Linked DNA regions of Schizosaccharomyces pombe. The protein of the gene in region 1 binds, or shares a complex with, the protein of each later gene. Each region holds a gene or a part of one and is shown on either strand. Other genes may lie near its edges.

What was found.
Region 2: moe1 (region 1) and sum1 share a complex: the UniProt entries of both Schizosaccharomyces pombe proteins name them as parts of the eukaryotic translation initiation factor 3 (eIF-3) complex.

What each region holds. Positions count from the first base shown.
Region 1 is NC_003424.3:4,549,304-4,555,271, forward strand, and holds moe1 (translation initiation factor eIF3d), read left to right. Parts: upstream 1-2,536; 5' UTR 2,537-2,547; coding exon 2,548-4,251; 3' UTR 4,252-4,438; downstream 4,439-5,968. Other genes in the region: gmh5 (alpha-1,2-galactosyltransferase), read left to right, coding at 623-1,666; Fe-sulfur cluster assembly ATPase Nbp35, read left to right, coding at 4,812-5,765. UniProt on the Schizosaccharomyces pombe protein: mRNA cap-binding component of the eukaryotic translation initiation factor 3 (eIF-3) complex, which is involved in protein synthesis of a specialized repertoire of mRNAs and, together with other initiation factors, stimulates binding of mRNA and methionyl-tRNAi to the 40S ribosome.
Region 2 is NC_003424.3:5,356,469-5,362,085, forward strand, and holds sum1 (translation initiation factor eIF3i), read left to right. Parts: upstream 1-2,455; 5' UTR 2,456-2,487; coding exon 2,488-2,550; exon of another isoform or gene 2,551-2,605; coding exon 2,606-2,726; exon of another isoform or gene 2,727-3,082; coding exon 3,083-3,885; 3' UTR 3,886-4,036; downstream 4,037-5,617. Other genes in the region: F-box/WD repeat protein Pop2, read left to right, coding at 1-774; rer2 (cis-prenyltransferase), read right to left, coding at 924-1,034, 1,090-1,306, 1,353-1,612, 1,725-1,931; met8 (siroheme synthase), read right to left, coding at 4,104-4,863, 5,035-5,069; protein Csi2, read right to left, coding at 5,440-5,617. UniProt on the Schizosaccharomyces pombe protein: Component of the eukaryotic translation initiation factor 3 (eIF-3) complex, which is involved in protein synthesis of a specialized repertoire of mRNAs and, together with other initiation factors, stimulates binding of mRNA and methionyl-tRNAi to the 40S ribosome.

The DNA.
Region 1 (5,968 bases):
ATCGAATATTAGTAATATTGTTTCATTTAACAGAATTTCAGTGATGTTTTATCAATTGTTACATTAGAATGATTGTTTAACAATATCTAATTTTTTACATGCCGAATCCTTAATTCGAGTTGCTGCCAAGTTTCCTTCTCATGGTTGTTTACACTTTTCCTAAAACAGAATTGTTAAATTAGTTGGTAGCTGATAATTATTTGTTTACTAAACTAAATACCTTCATCGTCAAACCATGAGAAATCTGTCAGAGTCTTTGCAACTGACATATTTTATGGAAAATTTCTATCGCTAATTTATTTAGCATATCTGAGTAGATGAACGCGAGAATAAAAGTGCTAAAACTTTTTGAGTAAACAAATAAATAAAATTATGCAATCAGAATCTACTTAACTTTACCGACGTTATCGCGTACTTTGGCTATTTACTCGACGACAAGGCTATGCCAGCTTTGATACACTGGGACGTTACTTGCTCACGACTTTCGCCTTTGCCAAACAGCCTAGTTCTGTGTGAAACCTCAAACGGCATTGCCGTAGTCATATTATCATTCGAAAATATATAATTTAAAGGTTAATAAGAAGAATTAACGTAAACGTCGAGTCTTATATTATATTAAAAAATGTGGAACCCCAAAAAGAAGTCAGAAGCATTAGCTAAGTTTAAATCCTTTCCTTACCCTAAGCCAGGCACTTCCAATGTACTTGATTCCAAAGAAGGTGATACTAGAAGGAAGTATTTTACCAAGACGCATCTACATAGGTTATTCGTCTTTGTGGTACTGTTGCTCTGCTCAGGCTACTTTTTAAAGCATACACTCTTGACGCGTCCCAAAGAGAGTAATGTTGTTATGATATTTGTCAATAACATCGGAGGTGGCGTTTTAGATGTAAAAAGTCCCAGACAATGGGAGCTGGAGAAGATTTCAACGGAGAACAAGAAGAAATACGCTGAAAGGCACGGATATCATTTCTTTGTGAAGAGCACAGGCTTAAAGAGACGATATGCTCATGAATGGCGTGAATCTTGGGAAAAAGCAGATTATATCATGGAAGCCATGAAGAAATACCCTCATGCTGAATGGTTTTGGTGGGTCGATTTAACAACATTCATCATGGAACCTCAATATTCTCTTGAAAAGCTTATTATTAACAGACTTGACCATATTGCGACCAGGAATATTACTGATAGCATGGAGTTCAATCCAAAAAATTTCCACGAAATTCCATTTGTTGACTATAGTGAAGATATCAACTTTATTTTAGGGCAAGATTGCAACGGTTTCAGTTTGGGTTCTTTTCTGGTTCGTCGAAGTGATTGGACTAGCAGATTGATGGACTTCCTTTGGGATCCAGTAGTCTATGGGCAAAAGCACATGGATTGGCCTCACGATGAGCAAAATGCAATTGAGTACTTCTACGAGAATAATGCTTGGCTTCGAAGCGGCATGGGATTCGTTCCTCTTCGCCTTTTCAATTCATATCCTCCAGGTGCTTGTGCTGGTGAAGGTGAAAATCCTCGTTTCTTTTATAACCAAAAAGAAGGAGACTTCTTGGTAAACTTGGCAGGCTGTAATTATGGAAGGGACTGCCTAGATGAAATAAATCATTATAAGGGATTAGCGCAAAGAAAACGGGGTTGGAGGAAGTTAGTTCCGTTTCTTTAATAGAGACCTCACATATTTCCATCATTATTATTAATATTTTAAATTCATACTTTATCATTCTTTTTCCTTGCGTGTGCTAGGCTGTCAATGCGATCCTTTATCATGTGATGCACTAAACTCTCTCCTTTGCTACTTAGCAGCTTTTGCGGTCATTTAACACTGCTTAATATTTGGTGCTTTCCGTTTTTATACATTAATTTCTTCGCAAACAATTGTTTTAATAGGATTAGATGTGTATATTTTTTATGCGACATGTGATGACAGAAAAGAGAGAATGTCTGAGAACCTTGGCGTTCATTTTTTTCTTTCTTCAAAAGACAGCGTTGACGAAATTAAAATTTTCTAAAACATGCTTTTGTCAGAAACATTTAAGCCTTGAGACAATGACTATAAAGGCAAAGTCTGATGTCGTAATCAGTTTTAAATTATAGCATAACATATCTTTTATTTCAATATCAATTTCTCCCATTTTTTAATTTAATAACATTTAGTGCTGATATAACCTGCTAGTATGATAAAGTAATTCTACCTACTATAGTTTTATAATGTAGTGAGTGGTTGAGATTTCCACATATCGTCTTCTGAATAGGCATGTGGGTTCACAAATAAAGAAGTAGTTTGATAAATACAGTAACATATACTAATTGTTAATAGATGTAGTTTTTCTACAAATATAGCACCTTGATTGCAAAAGGAAATGTATAACATTTAACTTTTTCACGAACCAAAAAGTATATATATTACATTTAAGTACTTTTGTATTACAAATAAAGCTTTAGAACTTCAAATATTACCATTGTTGGCTTTGGTGTTTTAGCGTCTCCCAGTTCGTTTGCACACTATACTGGCGTCCACTTCGAAGAAAACTTCACCACTCCCAAATGGCAACTGGATTTAAATTGCCTGAGTTAGCACCCGTAAAATCAGCATGGGGACCTCCTGAAACGGAACAGATAGGAGGTGATATTCCTTATGCTCCTTTTAGTAAAGGTGACCGTCTTGGAAAAATTGCAGATTGGTCTGTTGATCAACCTAAAGATGGACGTGAACAACGTGGACGTCAAGGAGCATTTGCTGGTCGTTTCCGTGACCAATATCAAACTTATGGTTATGGCGCGTCGTCCATTTTTGGTTATCAGCATTCGGAGGACGAATCCAGTTTCTCGGTGATCGATCGTGGTTCTGTCAATCGTACACGCACTTCCGCTCGCAACGGCGGCACTTTATTGAAGGTTCGCGGTAGAGGACAAAACGTTCAACGAGGTGGTCGTGGCGGTCGCTACGGTTCTTCTGGTGGAAGAGGTGCAGGTGATACAGTGGTTTCTAGATCCTCAGGCGCTGGAGGAGCAAGAGGTCGTCGGTTTGGTTGGAAGGATTATGATAAACATCAACGTCTTCGCAACGCCAGTGTTACTGTTGGTGACGACTGGCAGCTTCTTGACGAGGTTGAGTTCAGCCATTTATCTAAGCTCAATTTAGCTGCTGCTGCTCCTGTTACTGTGGATTCATATGGTTATATTTATCCTTATGACAAATCTTTTGACAAGATTCATGTTAAATCAGAAAAACCATTACAAGCCTTGGACCGTGTTCATTACAACCCTACCACTACTGAAGACCCCGTTATCCAAAAACTCGCTCTTAATAGTGATGCTAACATTTTCATTACGGATTCCATTTTGTCTTTATTGATGTGTTCAACTCGCTCAGTGTATCCCTGGGATATTGTAATTACTCACCAAAGTGGAAAGCTATTCTTTGACAAACGTGAAGGCGGACCTTTTGATTATCTCACTGTCAATGAAAACGCATACGATTCTCCCATGGACGCTGACAACCGCGAAGGTGTTAATTCTCCTGGAGCCCTTTCTGTCGAAGCTACGTACATTAACCAAAACTTCTGCGTCCAAGCTTTACGTGAAACCGAAGAAGAGAAATATAAATTACCTCATCCCAATCCCTTCTATAATTCTAAGGAAGAAAGTGAGCCATTGGCTGCTCACGGTTATATCTATCGGGATGTTGATCTTTCTCTCGAGACAGACGAAAAGCCTGTTAAGCTAATGGTTCGTACCGAAGTTGACGGTTATGTTAAAAATCCTGCGAACGATGTTCAATACATTTCTATCAAGGCTCTTAATGAGTACGATCCCAAATTTACAAATGTTACTGGTTCTGTGGATTGGCGTTCCAAGCTCGAAAGTCAAAGAGGTGCTGTGTTTGCCACTGAAATGAAGAACAATAGTTGCAAGCTTGCCCGTTGGACTGTCGAAGCTTTATTGGCTGGTGTTGATAGCATGAAGGTTGGTTTTGTCAGTCGTTCAAATGCCCGTGACGCTCAGCACCACGGCATTTTGGGTGTTGTAGCTTATAAGCCTGCTGATTTGGCTTCCCAAATGAACTTAAGTTTGTCTAATGGTTGGGGTATTGTTCGTACTATTGCAGATGTCTGTTTGAAAATGCCTGATGGAAAATATGTCCTTGTAAAGGATCCCAACAGACCTATTTTACGCTTGTACTCTGTTCCACCCAACACTTTTGAAGAAGCTGCTGGACCCTCCCTTGAAGCTTCTTCTACTGCTTAAAAAGGACGGATGTAGAAAGTTCATTAAAAAGGTTACATGTATAATACTCAATTACATGTGCAAATCTAAGATCTTTAAATCGGTTTTATATTTTCGGTTTCTTTATTTTTTAATCTTATGAACTGTTTCTCGGTAAATTAGAAGCTAAGTGTAAAGTAATGTATTTGTTGGAATAGTAAAAATGAAGCGAAGGAAAATTAAGTGCCGTTTAATTCATTTGGAAATATCTGATTTTCGATGCTTCCAACGTGATTTTTTTCATGAACATTGCTTTTAACACACTTTAGGGTATTACGGTAAAAAAATTAGAACTCGATTAGTAGAAAACCGATATAGCTCATTGCCACTAGCCAAGAGATCGTAAAACGGTTTCAAGCTTAGTCAGAATATTGTGGTAAAACAAGAGGTAAAGCTTTTAGCAAAAATTCGTTTGAAGAGAATTTACACCGGATTACACTTATAATTTACCATACGTGGTTTACAAAAATAGCTACTAAAAGTTCACTAAGCACGTGAAATAAAGACTTTTACTAAGCATTTGCTTTAATATTGGCTTTTCTATGCAAATCCAAGAAACTGTTCCTTTAGATGCACCAGAGCATTGCCCCGGACCGTCATCTGAAAATGCAGGAACTGCATCAGCATGTGAAGGATGCCCTAATCAACAAATTTGCGCTTCAGCACCTCGTGGAGAAGATCCAGATTTACCATTGGTTGTAGAACGCTTGAAAGAAATCAAGCACAAAATTCTTGTTTTATCAGGTAAAGGAGGTGTTGGAAAGTCCACATTCTCTTCGCAATTAGCATGGGGGTTATCGCTTGAAGAAGACAAGCAGATCGGGTTAATGGACGTGGATATTTGCGGGCCTTCAATTCCGAGAATAATGGGTGTTGAAAAGGAGGAAGCCCATCAATCAAGCAAAGGCTGGTCCCCTATTTATGTATGCCCTAACTTGGCTGTTATGTCAATTGGATTTTTATTACCAAGCGAAGATTCATCTGTTATATGGAGGGGGCCCAAAAAAAACGGGCTGATCAAACAATTCATCAAAGACGTTAACTGGGAAAATTTAGACTATTTGATTGTTGATACTCCTCCGGGAACTAGCGATGAACATTTATCTTTGGTTCAATTTTTTAAAAATTCCGGAATTGATGGTGCTGTTGTAGTTACTACTCCTCAAGAGGTTGCTCTTCAAGACGTCCGTAAAGAAATAGATTTTTGCAGAAAGGCGTCCATCCCTATCCTTGGATTAGTGGAGAACATGAGCGGTTTTGTATGTCCTTCTTGCAAAGGCAAGTCTAATATATTCACTATTACTACAGGAGGAGGTGAAGCGTTAGCAAAAGAAATGGGACTACCATTCTTGGGTAAAATTCCTTTGGACCCATTGATTGCACGTTCATGTGATTTTGGAAAAAGCTTTATTGATGAATGTCCTGAATCGCCTGCTTCCGAAATTATCATTGATATTATTAACAAAATTGATGAGAGTTTACAGAAAAGGCAATGAAAAAAATATAAAAAAAGGTTGGAATCTGCTTAATTTCAATTTTTTTGTATAATATAAAATACGTTTATTCAAATATTTATTGAACCTTCTGAGTATATTCCTTGTATATCCTCATTGAGCACTTAAAGTAAACATGTAGTCATTGTGACATTTTTTGGATTAAAAAGAAATTTGAAATCCTTAGTTAATGGATATAATACAAG
Region 2 (5,617 bases), 810 kb from region 1:
CGCCATGGAGTTGAAATTGTTGAACCAGATCAACCGTACATTGTCAGCGGCTCTCGGGATCATACACTTCGGGTTTGGAAGCTTCCAAAAAACACGGATCCTCCTTATCTTCCAGATAATACAAACTCTATTGACCGTTGGGAGAAGAACCCGTATTTTGTACATACTTTGATAGGACATACAGACTCTGTACGAACTATATCCGGCTATGGTGATATACTTGTGAGTGGGAGTTATGATTCTTCAATTCGCATTTGGAGAGTTTCAACAGGGGAATGTCTTTACCATCTGCGGGGTCATAGTCTTCGTATATATAGTGTTTTATATGAACCAGAAAGGAATATTTGCATAAGCGGTAGCATGGATAAGTCCATTAGGGTTTGGGATTTATCGACAGGGACTTGTAAATATGTGCTTGAAGGCCATGATGCCTTTGTTACGCTTCTTAATGTATTCCAGAATAGGTTGATATCAGGTTCTGCTGACTCCACAATTAGAATATGGGATTTGAATACTGGGAAACCATTAATGGTTTTGCCGTCTAATTCAGGCTACATTAGTAGCTTTGTGTCAGATGAACACAAAATTATTAGTGGTAATGATGGTTCTGTAAAGTTATGGGATGTTAGGACTGGAAAGCTGTTACGTTTTCTATTAACAGACCTCACAAAAATATGGCATGTCGATTTTGATGCTATGCGTTGTGTGGCTGCAGTGCAGCGTGATGATCAAGCATATTTGGAAGTTATTAATTTTTCCGGATCAAGACCGTAGAAAGTTTCATTTTAACAATATTTAAGAAGACATAATTAGAGTAGTGTCTAACTATTTACATCAGCTACTAACACATATTAAATGTATACAATGTAAAATTAACAGCCAAAGCCTATCAAAAGTAAATAAGTAACGAAGGATTGAATAAATTATGCTGGTTGGTTTTGTAACTGGTATTGAATTAACATTGGGAAAAACTTCCAGATAGAAAAATCCGGCCAGTAGAAATCGATGAATTTTATCTCCGTATTTTTGTGACACTGATAAAATTAGTTGAATATCTTTGACTAGAAAATTAGGAGAATTTTTACTTACCTGCCATAACATAAAATCAGATAGACGCTCCACACCGCTAGTGCGAATCAACAAGTCTAAAGGAAGACTATCTTTTATCAATAGGTTTTTTTCAAATATATCTTCATCTATATCTTCTGGAGTGATTGTACCATCTTCTGCCATTTTTACTATTGATTGCACAGAAGTAGCAATTTCATGTCGAGAAGTGTATGGAAAGCAAACATTTAATGTTGCCCTAAGATGTCAATTAGCAAAATAAAAATTTGAAAAATTTCACATACTTTGTGTTATGTTTTGTAATTTCCACAGCCTTTAGAGCAGTTTCTAAAACGTCAGGTTGCAACCTGCTAAGATCGCCAACAATGCGAATACGGATCCCATACTGATCAACCAAATCACCATGAGCAGTAATTTGCGTTAAGCTGTTTTTTGCAATCTCCATTAACATATCAACTTCATATTTAGATCGCTTAAAATTTTCAATGGAGAATGTGAAAGCCGATACTTCTTTAACTCCTAACTTCAGACACACTTTTAATAGCTTACGCAGGGTTAGTTAATGTACCAAATTGTGCAGAACGTAGACGGATACCAATGCGCAAAACATGGAGAAACGGTACGTTTAACCTTCTATTAATGTTCTTTAAACTTACAGATTTTAAAGCTTCAAAACCTGAGCTATGACCCTCGATAGTTTCCATCCTTCTTTGACGAGCCCACCGTCGATTGCCATCCATTACAAAGGCTATGTGTTGTGGTACTTTGCCACGTTTAATTGTATTTATCATCATCGTTTCTAATTGATCAAGTGTCCATTGTAATGGAGGACAGTGAATAAACCAGCCTGATAAATTACCCATATTGTCAAGATATTTTGTCAATTCTTTTCTTTTCCTTTATAAATGCACGCTAAATATCAAAGAGAAATAATTATCTTGATAAACAATTATTTTCAAAAAACGATTAGATGTTTTTGACGCTTCTATAAAACACTCAGGTTATCCGGTTCTAGATATGTTTTATAAGTATAATTACCAAGCACGCTAGAAAAGGATTTTTAGCTAAGGAAATATACTTTCAATCGTAAACGAATGGAACAAAGAGACGCTAGTTTAAGACCAAACGCTTTTGTATTTTTTTTTAAAAATCACGAAAGAAATATTATTTTTTGTACAAATAAGTAAGACAGACAAAATTCAAACAAAACCACAAAATACTGTTTTCAAAGTGAGACGTGCGACCTTTGGGTCTAACTAGTCTAACGCAAGTGTCTCAGAAATGAAGCCAGTTCATTTAAGAGTGTCGTTAAGCCTCCTTATTTTTAATACCATCCTTAAGTTACGCTAATTAGAATCAAAATATTACAACTAAAGACTTTTCGCTCAAACCCTCTACCAGCACTTTCCTGTTCAAAAGATGAGGCCTATCATTTTACAGGGTCATGAGCGTCCTTTGACTCAAATAAAATATAATCACGATGTAGGTTTAATAACCGTCCATTATATGTGGAAAATTTACTAATTTTTGTGTGTAGGGTGATTTATTATTCTCATGTGCCAAGGATAAAGTGATTAATGTCTGGTTTTCACACAATGGTGAACGCCTAGGTACATATGAGGGTCATACTGGTGCAATTTGGACTTGTGATATTAATAGTACGTGAAAATTGGTGGTGATGTATGTTGGATTAAGACATCTAAAGGTATACGGATTATGGAAGTATAAGGAAACACGAATAATGAAACATATCATGACTCTAATAAATGTATTTTTTTTATTAGTCGTCCGATTGCAGATGGTTATACTCGTGATCCACGATTCTGAGTTGGCGTAGTACTTAAAGTTAAATATGCATGGTGCATCTCCTTTACTTATATTAATGCTACGTTTACCTCACTTCACTTCCTCGTGGAAAGCATTTAAACTTCTTTTAAATCCTTTTCCTTCTTCTTGATGCCTCAAATCCAACTAGATCATCTGTTCCTTTTCCAATGGTTACTAACTGAAACAGAAAGTAGCACTTTAATGGTTAGTGGAGCCGCTGACAATACCATGCGTCTTTGGGATGTTAAAACAGGAAAGCAGTTGTACAAGTGGGAATTTCCTACTGCTGTCAAACGTGTTGAGTTCAACGAAGATGATACCCGTATTCTTGCTGTTACCGAGGAACGTATGGGTTATGCTGGTACCGTCACTGTTTTCCGTGTTCCTATTTCGGAAAGCGATGCCGCTGCTGAAACCCCCCTTTACGTTATTACTACTCGTGAATCTAAAGCAACGGTCGCTGGATGGTCTTACTTGAGCAAGTTTCTCTTTACTGGTCATGAAGATGGCTCCGTTTCCAGATACGATGCTATAACCGGAGAATTCGTTGAATCTAAACAAGTTCATAATTCTGGTTCTACTATTACTGATCTTCAGTTTTATCCTGATCGTACTTACTTCATCACTTCTTGCAAGGATACGACTGCTAAAGCTATTGATGTTGATTCTTTTGAAGTCATCAAAACATACCTTACTGATACGCCTCTTAATACTTCTAGTTTTACTCCTGTCCAAGACTTCGTTATTTTAGGAGGTGGTCAAGAAGCCCGTGATGTTACTACTACTGCTGCTAGACAGGGTAAATTTGAAGCACGTTTTTATCATGCGATTTTAGAAGAAGAGTTAGGCCGCGTTAAGGGTCATTTCGGTCCTATCAACACAATAGCTGTCCATCCCAAAGGAACCGGTTATGCTAGTGGTGGAGAAGATGGTTATGTTCGGGTGCACTTCTTCGATAAAAACTACTTTGACTTCAAGTATACATTGTAGGTTAATTTTATTCAAAAAACTGTTGATAGTATAGTAATGGACAACGGAACTTTTTTCCAAAGATGTATCATTTTCGTTTAGGGAGCATTATATGAAAAATAACCTTCTATGAGTACAAGAGTTTTTTAATAAATTCCATTCAAAATTCAAATGTTTTAAAGTGAAAAGTAATGTAATTGTCATATTCCGTAAAGCAACTAACTTATCAAACGCTTCTTTTAACGAGCTTTTGAAACATGTTTGAGGAGAACAGCCCCAGAAATTATAATTGCTCCAAACCATATGTAGTTGTCTATCTTGCTGTAGGCTGGAGTCGTTATTTCTCGATAACTAGGTGTTTTTTTTGGGAAGTATCCCAAAAGTCGGTTGATGAGATTTTCGTCGAGCATGGCAAGTTCCTCCAAAGACCACAGTTCGCAAATCTCAATCATCCATCTCATTCTTTTGCGACTGTTTTCAGGTTCGGGAACAATGTCTCGTAATTTTTGTCGTAAAAGGCCAGTTTTTTCCAATGCCATACCAGTAGCTGGATTGATTGAACTTTCGATTTTTTTTCGTATTAAACTGGCAAGTTTTGGACCTTTACCATTGGTGCTAACCATAATTTGTAGAGGGCCGTTACGGATTTCAGACCCAAAGTAGAAATCACATTCAGGTGGAATATCCGCCGCATTGACCGGGATTTTTTTGCTTTTGCATAACTTATAAATTTCGGAAGACAAGCTGGGATCATCTATGGCTGTAAGTACCATGTTTACATCGTCAGACAAATCTTCGACTAGAAATCCCCTGTCTCGCCATTCAACTTGCTTCTCCTGTATTCTCCAAGCCACTTCTTTACAAAGACCAGCTTTTGGACTTACAACGATAACATGGGCATCCGCATTCAAAACATGCAATATACGCCCAGCTGCCACAACGCCACCTCCAACAATTAATACTTTTTTACCTTGTGCACGCCAAGCAATAATTAATGATCTAAAGCTTAGATTAGCCTAAAAATTACCTTGAGATACATCAAAAAACTTTGCTAGCTTTCATTTTGTATGCTTTGCTAATTTTTCAATTCTGTGTAGATGAAAGTTAAGATACTAAAAAGCTGAAAATGATTTATAGAGCCTTGTAACTTCATAAAGATGCTTGACTTACCCACCAGGCTGCACAGACTGATATTTTGAAGCCATTATTCAAATTTTATCTTAACCAAGTGTAGGTGTTCCTGTATACTTGAGAATTATAGTATCGCCAATTACAATTCGACATTCAGTATCTGCTTCCCTATACGGGTTAATAGTTGGGAATCCTATTACGCGTATACTATTCGTTTATTTAAGACCTAAATTTTCCAGTGAATTAAAACTACCTTGTGAATAAAATCCCGAGGACGTGCAAATTTTTGAAACTATTTCATAGCACCAACTAAGCATATTCCTATACATCATAGATTAATTAATATGCTAAATTTATATATTTTTTTCATTGACAAGAAATATCCATACAAAAGTAATAGATGAAAGTGGCTCTTAGACTACTTAGTCGTATTTAAATAAGACGTTAAAATTCTTCATTAATCTCCTTACCATGTATACCAATGTGGTATAAACAAATTTGCGACGTCAAAGATTCATTTTTTGAAAACGCCCTGAACACAAATGTGTTAAAATAAGCTTCTTCCAGAAGGCCAGGTGTGTCCGAGAATTTTGGAAGATAGTAATAATTTACTTCGAACACC